Arabidopsis thaliana: one gene and its partners. The protein of the gene in region 1 purifies or fractionates together with the protein of each later gene. This does not show direct contact. Each region holds a gene or a part of one and is shown on either strand. Other genes may lie near its edges.

Region 1 (4,268 bases):
TTAGCATTATCCTCAATTCGTCACTAGCTTATTTATTTCCACATATAGCCGAAAGTCCGGATCCACTACAACTTAATCAGGTTTATTATTATACAGAATGCATGATAAATTATGTCATGATCAAAATCAGTATATATAAGCTACATACTGATAAATAAAATAAAAGGCATATAAATGATTGATTGAATCTAGATGAGCCTTTTCGATACTTAAATGTTTCAAAGTTTTCTTTGGCATAAAGAACGGAGGCAAGGGAGAAGAACTTCTTCACCAACCCCACTGACCATTTTCAGAAAATACTTAATACCTAAATTACTAAAATTTGTAGGAATTTCGGTGATTAAATTCACTAGATTACTTTTTCACCTGACAATAATAAATATTACCCCCATTTTGAGGTATTTTGATTGCTTTAAGAATTCGGAAGTTTCCAAATTTGAATGTTTAGTTATTTGTTGTTACCTAACAAATAAAGATAGATTTGTTTAGTTCAAAGAGAACAAACTTTAGTCGCCATTAAAACAGTTAAGGATAGATTTGTAGTTACAGATAACATATTATCATGCATAAAAAAATTCAAAAGTTACTAATAATATGAAACGAGTACTTACAAAGCAATCAATTTGGTCTCCTAGGCCCCAACACATCTTCCTTTCTTTAGTTATCAATTTTATTACAAAATTAAATACAACAAATAACATTATTATCCTCTATACCCACTAACATTTTTTAAAAAGGTCAGATACCTTTAAATAAATTAATTAGTACTAATACAAGCTTTGATCATTCTTGCTGCAAAACCGAATGCATTATTAAATTTGATAAAGTAGAAACAAAATGATTTTTTATTATTTTATATGCATTCTTCACATTTCCGAGTACAGTTTTTACACGTCATTACAAAACGACAAAAAGCAAAGAGAGAGCCCTATCCACAATCCAAACCCGAGACCCAAACCCGAAAGATTTTTTTATACACACGCTCGCGTGCAACTTGATTTTGACTACACATGCCGTCTAGATCTCGTCATCGCTCTCACTACTATGCCACGTGTCTTACTCACATCCCTTGGATCAAACCAGAGTCTTGCACGTCGAACTCTGCGGATCCCACATCGCCGGCAATAGATATTTCCTACCGGCGAGTCCACGAGCGTTGTAACTAGACCCGGTTGTTTTGTCAACAAGTACCCGACCCGCGTAACCCGGATAAGAACCTGACCCGAATATACCAGGACAAGCAGACACAGCTTCAAGCGGTGCAGTTGGTGGGCCTTGGTAATATCCGTTATTAAACGGATTCGTCACGGTGTTAGCTAGAAGTGTGGCAAGGTTTATAATCATTCCGTCAACTCCAACGTCACCGTTAGGCGCTACTAACGGCGGCGTTTGTGGTCCGTAAATCGGCTGGTGAAACGGCCACGCGCAATATCCAGGGCACTGCGTCTCGGAGTTCCCGACCCATACGTAAGCCGCGCCGTTAGCTGCGCGACGGGGATTCGAACCGGAGGATCCGTGAGTCCCGCACCGGCTCATACAGAATCTTTCGACGGTAACATCTTTCGCCGTTAGAACGACGGTTATGGAACGGAGACCGCCGTTAAGTTTGGTGGATAAAGCACGGAGGTAAGGATTTTTGAGAGATTTTCCGAGAGGATAGTTCTCGAGTAGAAGCTGTTTCCCGACGACGAGTGTTGAAGAGCCACCTTTGTATTTCTCCGTCGTCTTCCACCACGAAGCAACGGAAGGAACTGCGGCGGAAGATGCAACGTCTTTGGAGTTTAGCGAGTGGATGAAATCGACGATTACGGACCGTTGGATCGGTGTGAATTTCCCGTACCATACGAGATTGACTGTGATGTTACCTTTCAACAGAACTCCGTTGTGGTATTTCATAACAAGCGGCTGCTCCTCGACCAACGCGGCGGCGGAGAAACCAGCGGTGGCGAAAAAGAGAGTGAGGAAGATGGCAAAACGGTAATTAGAAGCCATTGAGAAGGGTAGTTATATCAGATTGAAGAGATATAGGAGAGGTTTTGATTTGGGGTTTATAAAGATATACAGAGGTATTTATACCAGAGATGTTGTTTTGAAACCGAGAGAGGAGTGTGACAGCTGTAGTGGCTAAGGTGTCAATATCAAAGATTGCCACGTGGAGAGATGTGAGTGGGTAGGGAAGGGTGTTTGACAGCCTGTAAGGTTCTTATAGTGTGACGTGGTTTAAGTCTTCATAACGTGTATTAAATTTAAGTGATGCTTAGCCGATAAATTTGTTATCAAACAAAGAAAATAAAATTAGTGTAAGATATTTTGCCATGCAGAGAGACAGATCCATTTGTAAAAGAAGATTAATAAGTGAAAAAAGAAACTTTAAAAGTAGTGTTTAGTAAGATAGCTTTATTCTCTGAATGCAGTAGTTTTCTTTTAATCTTTGAAAGTCTATTAATACAAACCGAGTAAGTTTAAATGCAAAACCCACTTTAAATTTTAATGCAAGAAATTGATTATGAAATTCAGCTAATAGCTACTAGTATTAAAATGTAGTTATTAGATCAACTGGTTTTTTAAAGAAATTGGTTGTAGTTGTTTTGGTTTTGAATACCAAGATATACATTGATTCAACACATATATTATCAGAAACCAGTTTGATTTGACTATATATTTTGCCATTGTTTCAATTACACATATCTTTCCCTTGTTTCAATATAAACATAAATCTCATCTACTCTTATATATTGCCATTCATGATTAACCATAGACTTATATACTCTTTATAAAGATCTGTATTAGTTGAGTAACTATTTTTCCGTCTAGCATATAAACACATCCTATACACATTTTTATTTTCAGTCACCTGCCAACCATGAAATTTTAATATCACTTTACACTATGCCCAAAAAAAACAAAAAAAACGTCGTCACTTTAACTCGTTCTCTGACTCCGCCTCGCAATCTCACATCATGAGGCATGGTATTGGACATGCTCTATACGCAAATACATTGAGCAGTAATTGTTTGACCATATAATAGAAGAAAAGTCCATTACTCGTTCTAATAATACGGTTCTGATACCAAAAAAAAGAATTCTATATATTAAGAAATGAATTAAAGAGATTTGGGATTATTTAGGGAAGGTTCCTTCCTTTCCTTCCATAGAGGCGCCACTGATTTTAAGAAAGGTACACAGAGAGGTTGATGATACCGTGTGTGTGCCATAATCAACTTTACTTGGGGGAGGTCCCTTTAGGTCTCCGTGGGGACCACAGATTCATACGTATTTTACTCTAGAACAGTGTGTGTATTTATGTATAGTTATATACTTATAGCTTAAGGTGTATGTATATAAATATACGGGTGCACTCGAGTAGTTAGTTCAGTCGTGTAGTAAGCAAGATACGCCTCGACGTAGCGTACGAACCACGCTCTTACAGTCCATTATTGCCTTTTACATCTTCAGGGTCCACTCTTGCTTTATTTTGAAAAACTCTTTTTGGTTTGATTTAACAAAAAAGTTATACGAAAAGTATATATTCCACACTAAGAAAAAAAAACACGTTTTATTTTGTATTACCATCTTTTTTGGCATAAAGAAGATTTTTATGTTTTCTTCTATAGTGGAGGAGCTCACATAACTAAAAATAAAAATAAAAAAAATAGAAAATCAAACGAGGGTATGTGATGTGAGGCCCATATACAAGTACTGTTTATTAAAACTTAAAAGAAGGATAAGTCACGTGTCAGACGTACTCCGTAGTAATAGCATAATAGGATTCGTAGTAATCCACTTTAGCTCTCTCTCTGCCTCTACAAAATATATCTTCTCACGTGAAATTTTTCTACTCTAGTTATGTGATAAATGAATAGCAAAAGTTACAATATTGTTACTTGGATGAGTTTACTTTGAAGAGTGACACATGAGTTTACTTTGTCGTGTATATACTTGGATGGATGCACCGGTCACTTTTGGTAGGATAGAACCACACACTTTGATCATCATTTAGCTTGGCTCTTGATTCTTTAAAAATATAATTGCGCTTTGAACGTAAAAACAATTTCGTATAATTAGGTCGAGTAAAAACCTTATATATCGTTATACTTGACTTGTTAACATTTGAAACACACAATATTGAGTTCGAGCGTCGGGGTTAACTATGCGTACGTCGAATTGAAAAAAAAAAGAAGAAGTAATTTTCGATTTTAGGAACATCGCCAATGGTGGACTTAGCTTACGATAAACTTGCTCTAAAAAGAATGTCCACTTTATATTAA
Region 2 (4,469 bases), on another chromosome or scaffold:
ATCTATTTGCCGCCAAAAAATATTTACAAAGATTTTTAAAATCATTTTTTTAGCTGAGGAAAATTGTTACGAAAAAGTTTTTGGCAGGAATTGTTTTTTTTGGCGGGAAAAAAGTTTGGCGGAAATTTTTTTTTTGGCGGAAAATAAAAATTTTGGCGCCAAAAAATTGGCGGGAAAAGTTCAGTTTCCAATTACATGTTTCTATTAGATGAGGGTAATTTGGTCATTTTGTTCAAGGGAAAGGGTACTTTTAAAAATGGAAAACATAAAAGGGTATTGTTGCAAAAAAATAGTAAAAAATGGGTAGTTTTGCAAATCTCCAATCATATATATACTAAGCTTCAAACTAGTTTAGTTTTGATTTGTTTTCCGATCCTAAACTTGAATTAAGCTCATGATGTTGGGAGCCTATATAAATTATTAGAACGTGATATTCATGCATGGTGTATTCAAAGAATTACACATATATAAGAGAGACTAGGATAAAACTAATTACGTTTAGATAATACTAAATACTGAGGTATGTCAAGGATGCTCTAACATATTTGTTAGGTGGATCCAAATCCACTATGGTCGAAGCGGTGGGTAACCGACGCCAAATATTATATACTGTGCAGTTGTACAAAATGGATGAACGCTATATTCAGACAAATAAGTACTATAACAAAACAAGAAAGAACTCTTTAAGTACTTCAATTTTGAGCAAAGGAAAATTTCGAGAATAATGGTTTGTAGTAGCCCGGAGGGGAAACATTACCATTTTGGTCTAAACACTTCACAATAAACTTGAAAACAAAATAGCTAGACTAGCTAGAGATATATATGTTTAGTTTCATAATATGCATGTGACCTCATAATTAAACCTTATTTTGAAACTATAACTTATAAACAGATGAACTGGTCTTTCGATCTTTAACAAAAATAAAAATGAACTGGTCTTTCTTTTAACAAATTTCTGAATCTTGTGGGAACTCTATTGGATAATTGGATTCGTAAGCACAAATTGATCCACGACCACTACATTATACATATGCAGATATGTTAATGCTATAAGACCATCTCTTTTATTGTATGACTTTTGGAGATAACAGAAAAGGGAATCTTTTACAGATAAGAGTTTAGAGTAAAGAGAAAAGAAGCCTATTTGGTTGATTTTGATTCACTGATTAAAACAACACTTGTCTTTTTTATCTTTGCCTTCACGAGAATCATAACTACACTCACCGTCCTCGCCGATCAAAAGTCCTCGTGTGATAAGAAATTCATGTGGACAATTTTATTGCAGGTACGTATTTTTCATCAACTTATCCATAACGACACGTGTTGACCTTCTTACGTAGCTCTTCTGTATTTGATCGCCTTGGATTTGCTCTAAGACCTAATTTAATCACGCCACATGCAACAATTAACTACCAAGGGTCCCAAAAAAAGAAAGAAACACATACTACTCTATTTAATTTGATAATAAACAAATAAAGTCCGTTTAGTAGATTATGTTTTACATATAAAAACAATTAAAGTCCGTTTTGTTAATTATGTTTTACCTATAAAAAAAAAATTCACCAAAAAACATTAATCAAATCATATCCTAGTTGATCATTGGTGAGGTGACTGACAGGTCGTGGAATTCTGGCATCCTATCGTCGACAAATCTTAAACTAAAGTAACTCTTACTGTTACTTTTTAAATATGTCAAAGTAACCAATATCTTCTACGGAACTTATATCCAATTTGCATACTTTTACTCATACTATACAAAATACAAGCGGATATAAACAACAAAATAAGAAAACTACACTAATATCTATAGAAACTTCAAATTGAATTGAATATTATCGTGATATATATATATATATATATATCGCCGAATATTCCCTGGAAAATTAAATACAAAGACTATACTACTCTATTGGCTATAAATACACACACAAACCCAACAAAGCTATTTCATTATTCAAAAACCAATCACAAATAACAAAACGAAAATGAAGTTTTGGTCACGACCATTAACGTTTCTTATAATTATTATCTATCTCATAATTCAACAAGTCAACTCATCACCACCGTCATTATCTATACCGGAGCATTTTCTCCGATGCCTCGACACTCAACCATCCGACCACGGCAGTCCCAACTCAAGAACCGCCGTGATCCCAACAAACTCATCTTTCTCAACAAACCTAATGAACGGCGTCAGAAACCTCCGGTTCGCTTCTGTCTCCACAAGAAAACCAGAAGTTATCGTCGCCGCCGTCACCGAAACTCACATAAGAGCAACAATCTCTTGCTGCAAACTCCTAAACCTCGAGCTAAGAATCCGAAGCGGAGGCCACGACTACGAAGGCTTCTCCTACACTTCTCCGGTACCTTTCGTAATCTTAGACATGTACAACTTCAACAAAATCGATATCAACATGAAAGACGAAACCGTTTGGATCCAATCCGGAGCTTCACTAGGTCAGCTTTACTATAACATTGCAAGTAAAAGCAAAGTCCACGCTTTTCCCGCCGGAGTTTGTCCTAAAGTCGGCGCCGGAGGACATTTCAGCGGCGGAGGATTCGGTAACCTCATGAGAAAATACGGTTTATCCATTGATCATATAATCGACGCTCAAATCATGGACGCCAACGGTAAAGTGTACCGTAACCGTCAAGCTATGGGAGAAGACGTGTTTTGGGCTATTCGCGGCGGAGGCGGCGGAAGCTACGGAGTCATTCTTGCCTGGAAGATAAAACTCGTTAGGGTTCCGGAGAAAGTCACAGTTTTTAAACTAGAAAGAACGGTGAGAGAAGGAGCCGTTGATTTAGTTCATAAATGGCAACAAGTAGCTCCGGTTATCGACAGAGATTTGTTTATCCGGTTAGAGATTAAACCAATAAACCGGAAAATCTCAAAAGGTAAGACGATTAAAGTCTCCTTCATCGGAATGTTTCTTGGTTTACCTGAGAGACTTTTAAACATAACGAAACAGAGTTTCCCTGAGCTACATTTAACGAAAGAAGATTGTATGGTCAAGAAATGGATCGAATCTAGTGTTTTCTGGGCGAATTATCCAGAAAAAGCACCGATAGAGTTACTTCTCAAAAGAGTATCAACCAACGAATACTACTGGAAACGTACTTCAGATTTTGTTCAAGCACCAATCTCAAAACAGGGTCTTGCAAAGATTTTTCAAACAATGATTGATCATTCGCCACTTCCACGACGAGTTTGGATGCAATGGAATCCATGGGGAGGGAAAATGGCTGAGATAGCGTCTGATGCGACGGCGTTTGTGCATAGAGGTGGTAATGTTTTCATGATTGAGCATTTCATGAATTGGTATAGACCTGGAGATGAGCTTGAAGAGAAGTTCTTGGCGATTGCAAGAAGTTTTAAAGAAGCTATGGCTCCGTTTGTTTCCAAGAATCCGAGAGAAGCTTTCTTTAATTATAGAGATGTCGATATCGGAATTACTACGCCGGGGTATAATGCGACGTATGAAGGAGCTAAGGTTTATGGGGATAGTTATTTCAAAGGGAATTATTTGAGATTGGTTAAGATTAAAGCCCGGTTCGACCGGACTAATTTTTTCCGGTCTCAGCAAGGGATTCCGGTTCTTGCTTAGTTTGGTGATTGGTGAGTGTTTGAATTGATTGTATTGTTGTGTGGGAAGGAGTATACTATTAAGTTATTAAAAGTTGAAATTTGGGATCATATCCAATGAATCTATTGGGTATATATGTTCCTTAGTTGTTCTGGCATGGGCAGTTGATAATTTTGTGTTAAATAATGGTTTACTTCAATCTCCAAGAGAAGTTATGTGCTAAAATTTTTAATAATAAATGGATCGGAGTTGTATATCTCTAAGAGAATTCATTGATTATAATCAACAATATATGATTAGTTTTAGTTATAGCATAAATGAACAATATATGGTCTTTAATTTGCAAAGAATACTGATTGCAAAATCTTAAATAAATTTCATAATAAAAAATCAACCAGATTTTACGCGTCTTTTTAAACAAATATCATGTACTAATTTATCCGATGACAAACTATATTATATGATATCACTATATGTTTCTAAATCATAACCTAATATTATTTTATTTACAATTGGGGTCAAGTTTACCGCTAATTTAGTTATCTAGCAAAGAAGCCTAATAATTTTTGCATGAATCTATGCAACTTTTGTTTTTTTTTGTCAAAAACATAGTATGTCAGTATGACCGATGAGCGATGAACAAAATCATTGGGTCCATTGCAAAAAGTGTGTTTTTCAGAAATCTTGGCGCAGAGTCACAGATGAACACGTGATAGGATTTATATATTAAATGCTTGAACAGGACATGGTCGAGTTGCTTCCAATAATTGTAATGAGGTCACAGTTTTAACTATATGATATAGACTTTTCGACTGGTCGATCGGTCCAAACTGGTCCGACATTTTGGGATAGGGTTAGTTATAATTGTTAGTTCAATATTTT
Region 3 (4,032 bases), about 19 Mb from region 1:
TACCACATTCCATGAGACACCCTTGTAGCTCTTTCACCAGATAGCATATTGGATCTTAAATAATTTCAACTAATTAGTATCAAAACTACTATCTCCATTAATTTCTGTCGGAAATCATCGGAGAAATTAAGGGCATACAAGTCCATATTTTTCCTTCTTTGAGACTATCATGAACGTGTTGTTGTGACAAGTATATGTCTTCTTCTTTATTTACTTTAAAAATTCCTAAAAAGGTGAATTTGCATCAATCACTTAAATTCGTAATTTTATTACCATTATTTTCTGAAATAATTTAACCTTTCTATCATTTGAACAATTGATGCTAGTTTTTATTTTGTATCTTTTTTCAATGATGCAAATTAAGATAGATTAGTATCAATTTAATTTAGTTGATGTCAAATAATTAGTTATGGCATTACTTATTGTAATTGACGTTAAATCAAATTTTGTATCTGTTATAAATAAGTAACTCAAATTAACATCATTTATTTTTGATATAATTTATTTTATGCAATACATTTTTTGTAGTAACTTTTGAATTTCAAATCTAAATTGCAATTTCTAATAAGAAATACAGAATACTTTAGATAATTATTAATGTGCAAAATCCTCAGACAATATTTTTTATCAAAACAAGCGAATATCAAATTTGAATAAAATAACATAGACGATATTTATGAGAAACGGGTGATAATTTCTTAAAATTTCGATTAGAACACATGTGTCGCTGAAAACGTGTCATACAAGACCAAAAACTGTGATACTATCATGAGTGACTGATGATTCTATTTTTGGGAAGGCCAAGTGGAGCAGCTTGTGTTATGGAGCAAGAGTGACTCACTAAAAGCGAGAACCGTCCCGCTGAAATCGAACTCGAGCATATGATCTTGAAGCTGATGTGTCCCAATCACCATCAAATCCTTCGGTGTCTTTCCACCGTCGATAAACGCCAAACACATCACCGTTTCCTTCACTTTCACCACCGTATTCGCACCGTAGAACCCCCACTTTACCTCCCCTATCCTCCCCGGCAGACCAATCTCTATCACGGGCACGTTAGGCCCCGCCGTCAAATTCTTTCCAGCGGTGCGTGAATCAAAACAATGTTTAAACGGCGCCACCGATGGAACCTTAGCTATTCCCATAGCCTGTATATATAGTTCACACCAAAACAAACAAGACAGAAAAGAGGTTATATCAGCTTATCTATATACAACAAAAAAATAACATTAGCAACGTTATAATTTAAAGGAACACATTTCTAATAATCGTTTAATAAGATATTTTATTTTAAAAATCTCAAATCATGGTTCACTCCACAGGAACTCCAATAAAGAGATAAGAAATTTTATACATGAATAATATATTTTGTTTTGAATACCTTAGCCTTGAGTGTAAAAGACTGAGCAAGAGCATTGTAGATATCGGTTTGAAGTACGGTGTAGTGAACCACCGTACTGAGTTTGGCTCCGCCGGTTAGCAAATCAGGGTTCAACTTCAAAGCAGTTCCACCAACGTAGATAGATTTTACAGTGATTAGATAATCTCCTGAGTCAGTGCCTTTAATGGGAGTTAAAGTCCTTGGAATCGGATTATCGCTACTATTGAATGGTGGGATAAAGTAGTGAATGCCGGCGATATAGAAATGACCGGTACCGGAAGAAGGCAAGCAGAGAGAGAATTTAGGGATGACGTTAAACGCTGACGTCACTTGTTTCGTGAACGACGAAGATCCGGGAGAAAGAGCCAGAACTCCGTCGACTGGAGGAGGAAGGCCTTGGAGGGCTTTCTCACCGGCGCATGAGAATGTGAAGTGGCGGACGGAGACTTGAGAGAGGAACTTGCCGCCGTCTGTGGTGTAGAGGGAAGCTCTGTCTTGGACGACACGGCCGGTTACAACGGGGTTTTGTCCGAGTGGGTTTGGTTGCTTGTAAAGACAAGATTTGCCAGCGCATCCATTACCGGGGATAGACTTGCATGTGGAGCTCTGGCAAGTGACTAGGCGGAGAGATGATAAAGATTTAAGTTTGCGGCAGTCGAGCCACGTGAGGTTTGTTCCGAGGTCGAGGAGGAGGTTTACAGGAGATTTTGCGGCGGATCCGACGTTGAAAGTGGTGTAGAATAGATTGGTGGGTTCGTGCTTGGTGATCGGAAGAAGGTATTGAGAGTTTGATTTCAGAGCTATGGCTGCGAAAATGGAAAGGAAGACTAGTAGGCGCGTGAGGCTACTACCCATCTCTATTATATTCAGGTTATAATTTTTTTTGGTAAATGAAATGATGAATGTGATTGTTTGTGATGGAGATGGACTACGATGTATGTTATTTATAGATGTAAAATACATTTTGGATCTAAGAATTAAAATGGTGATTAGTACATTTTTTAACACAAAAGTGATGGTATTCTTGAATGTTTGAGATTCGCGTTGAGATTTGTTTTCCTAAAAGTTGAATTACGCGGAATCTTAAAAAATGAGAGTATTTTTGCATGTGTTACACATGACAACAATTAATTATATGAAAAAATGAAGATTAGTCGGTGCATCTGAAGTCGTATAATGTTATGCAAAATGAGGTCTGATCAAGTATACTCGCGTGGTGGGTATATGTCACAATTCATATTCTTTTCTTTTCAAATAGTTTTCGAGTTCTTCTTTATGCATGATCTTAATCCTTAATATAGCAGCAATACATACTAGAAAGTCTTGAAAGATCTTATAATTTAAATCAAATCATTTGTATTTTCAATTTTATAGGAATAGAAACGATTTTCGCTAAAATAATCCATTAACGACTCTATTTTTTCATCGACAAGGACTTAATTTACAATTTTACATAACGAATCCAAACATATTGGGCCATATTGCCAGGCCCACGTATAAATGAGCTCAATATTAATCTTCATAACACCACATTGCTTATATTGCAACAATTAATTTTTATTTGAAAACAATGGAGAAAGATGGGTCGGTGTATCTTAGTATGCTAGTTTAAGTATCATTTAACATTAATTGGTACGTAATGTATGCAAAATGAGTGTTGAATTCTTTTATACCTGATCATAAAAAGTCTTGCAGGATCGTAAAGTTCATATGCTGTATGAAGAAAAATGATTTTTCATTCAAATAAACCATTAACGGCTCTCGTTATTTCGTTATTAAAGACCGTTGATTTGTTTTATATATAACGCCATGCAAACCATTGGGCCATATAAGTTTCTGAAGACGCCCATATATAAACGAGCCCAATCTTAATTTCATAATACATGTTAACATCACAAAATTTACAAGTACCAAGCCAACTACTCCAACTGGCATAGGGTATAAACTTTATGGATATTCCTATAAAACATCCTTTCACACGTGCCAAAAATCATCAAATCGTCTCCTTTTTCTTTTGAGCTTTTAATAAAATGGATAAACATTGACCAAAACAAAATAAAAAGAAAAGAAAAAGTCCCCACCAAAGAGCGAAACGACACAACAAGTCTACTCAGCACTTACCTTAAAATGAACCAATCCTTATCGTTTCAGTTTTTTCACATTCACAATAAACCAGCGTCGGCCCACCGCATCCCAAACCATAACGCTTAATCCTTAAAAACCGTCCAGATCCATTTCCTTCCTCTAAAACTCATCACACACACTTCTAATGGCTTCTTCTTCTTGTTTGAATCTCTTCTTCTTCTCTTTTCTCTCCGCTCTAATCATTTCTAAATCTCAGATCTCTGATTCCGTTAACGGGGTCGTTTTCCCTGTTGTTAAAGACCTTCCAACCGGTCAATACCTCGCACAGATTCGACTCGGTGACTCACCGGATCCAGTCAAGCTCGTAGTCGATCTGGCCGGCTCAATTCTCTGGTTTGATTGTTCCTCAAGACATGTTTCCTCGTCAAGGAACCTAATATCCGGTAGCTCTAGCGGCTGCTTAAAGGCAAAAGTTGGAAATGAACGAGTATCATCATCATCATCATCGCGTAAAGACCAAAACGCCGATTGCGAATTACTTGTTAAAAACGACGCCTTTGGGATTA

The links.
Region 2: the proteins of EXL2 (region 1) and AT2G34810 fractionate together in Arabidopsis thaliana (co-fractionation; one large-scale study listed by BioGRID). This does not show direct contact.
Region 3: the proteins of EXL2 (region 1) and AT5G19110 fractionate together in Arabidopsis thaliana (co-fractionation; one large-scale study listed by BioGRID). This does not show direct contact.

What each region holds. Positions count from the first base shown.
Region 1 is NC_003076.8:25,701,704-25,705,971, reverse strand, and holds EXL2 (EXORDIUM like 2), read right to left. Parts: upstream 2,324-4,268; 5' UTR 1,993-2,323; coding exon 1,075-1,992; 3' UTR 633-1,074; downstream 1-632. UniProt on the Arabidopsis thaliana protein: May play a role in a brassinosteroid-dependent regulation of growth and development.
Region 2 is NC_003071.7:14,683,307-14,687,775, forward strand, and holds AT2G34810 (FAD-binding Berberine family protein), read left to right. Parts: upstream 1-1,863; 5' UTR 1,864-1,985; coding exon 1,986-3,608; 3' UTR 3,609-3,910; downstream 3,911-4,469.
Region 3 is NC_003076.8:6,410,935-6,414,966, forward strand, and holds AT5G19110 (Eukaryotic aspartyl protease family protein), read right to left. Parts: upstream 2,378-4,032; 5' UTR 2,345-2,377; coding exon 1,382-2,344; intron 1,149-1,381; coding exon 786-1,148; 3' UTR 509-785; downstream 1-508. Other genes in the region: AT5G19120 (Eukaryotic aspartyl protease family protein), read left to right, coding at 3,651-4,032.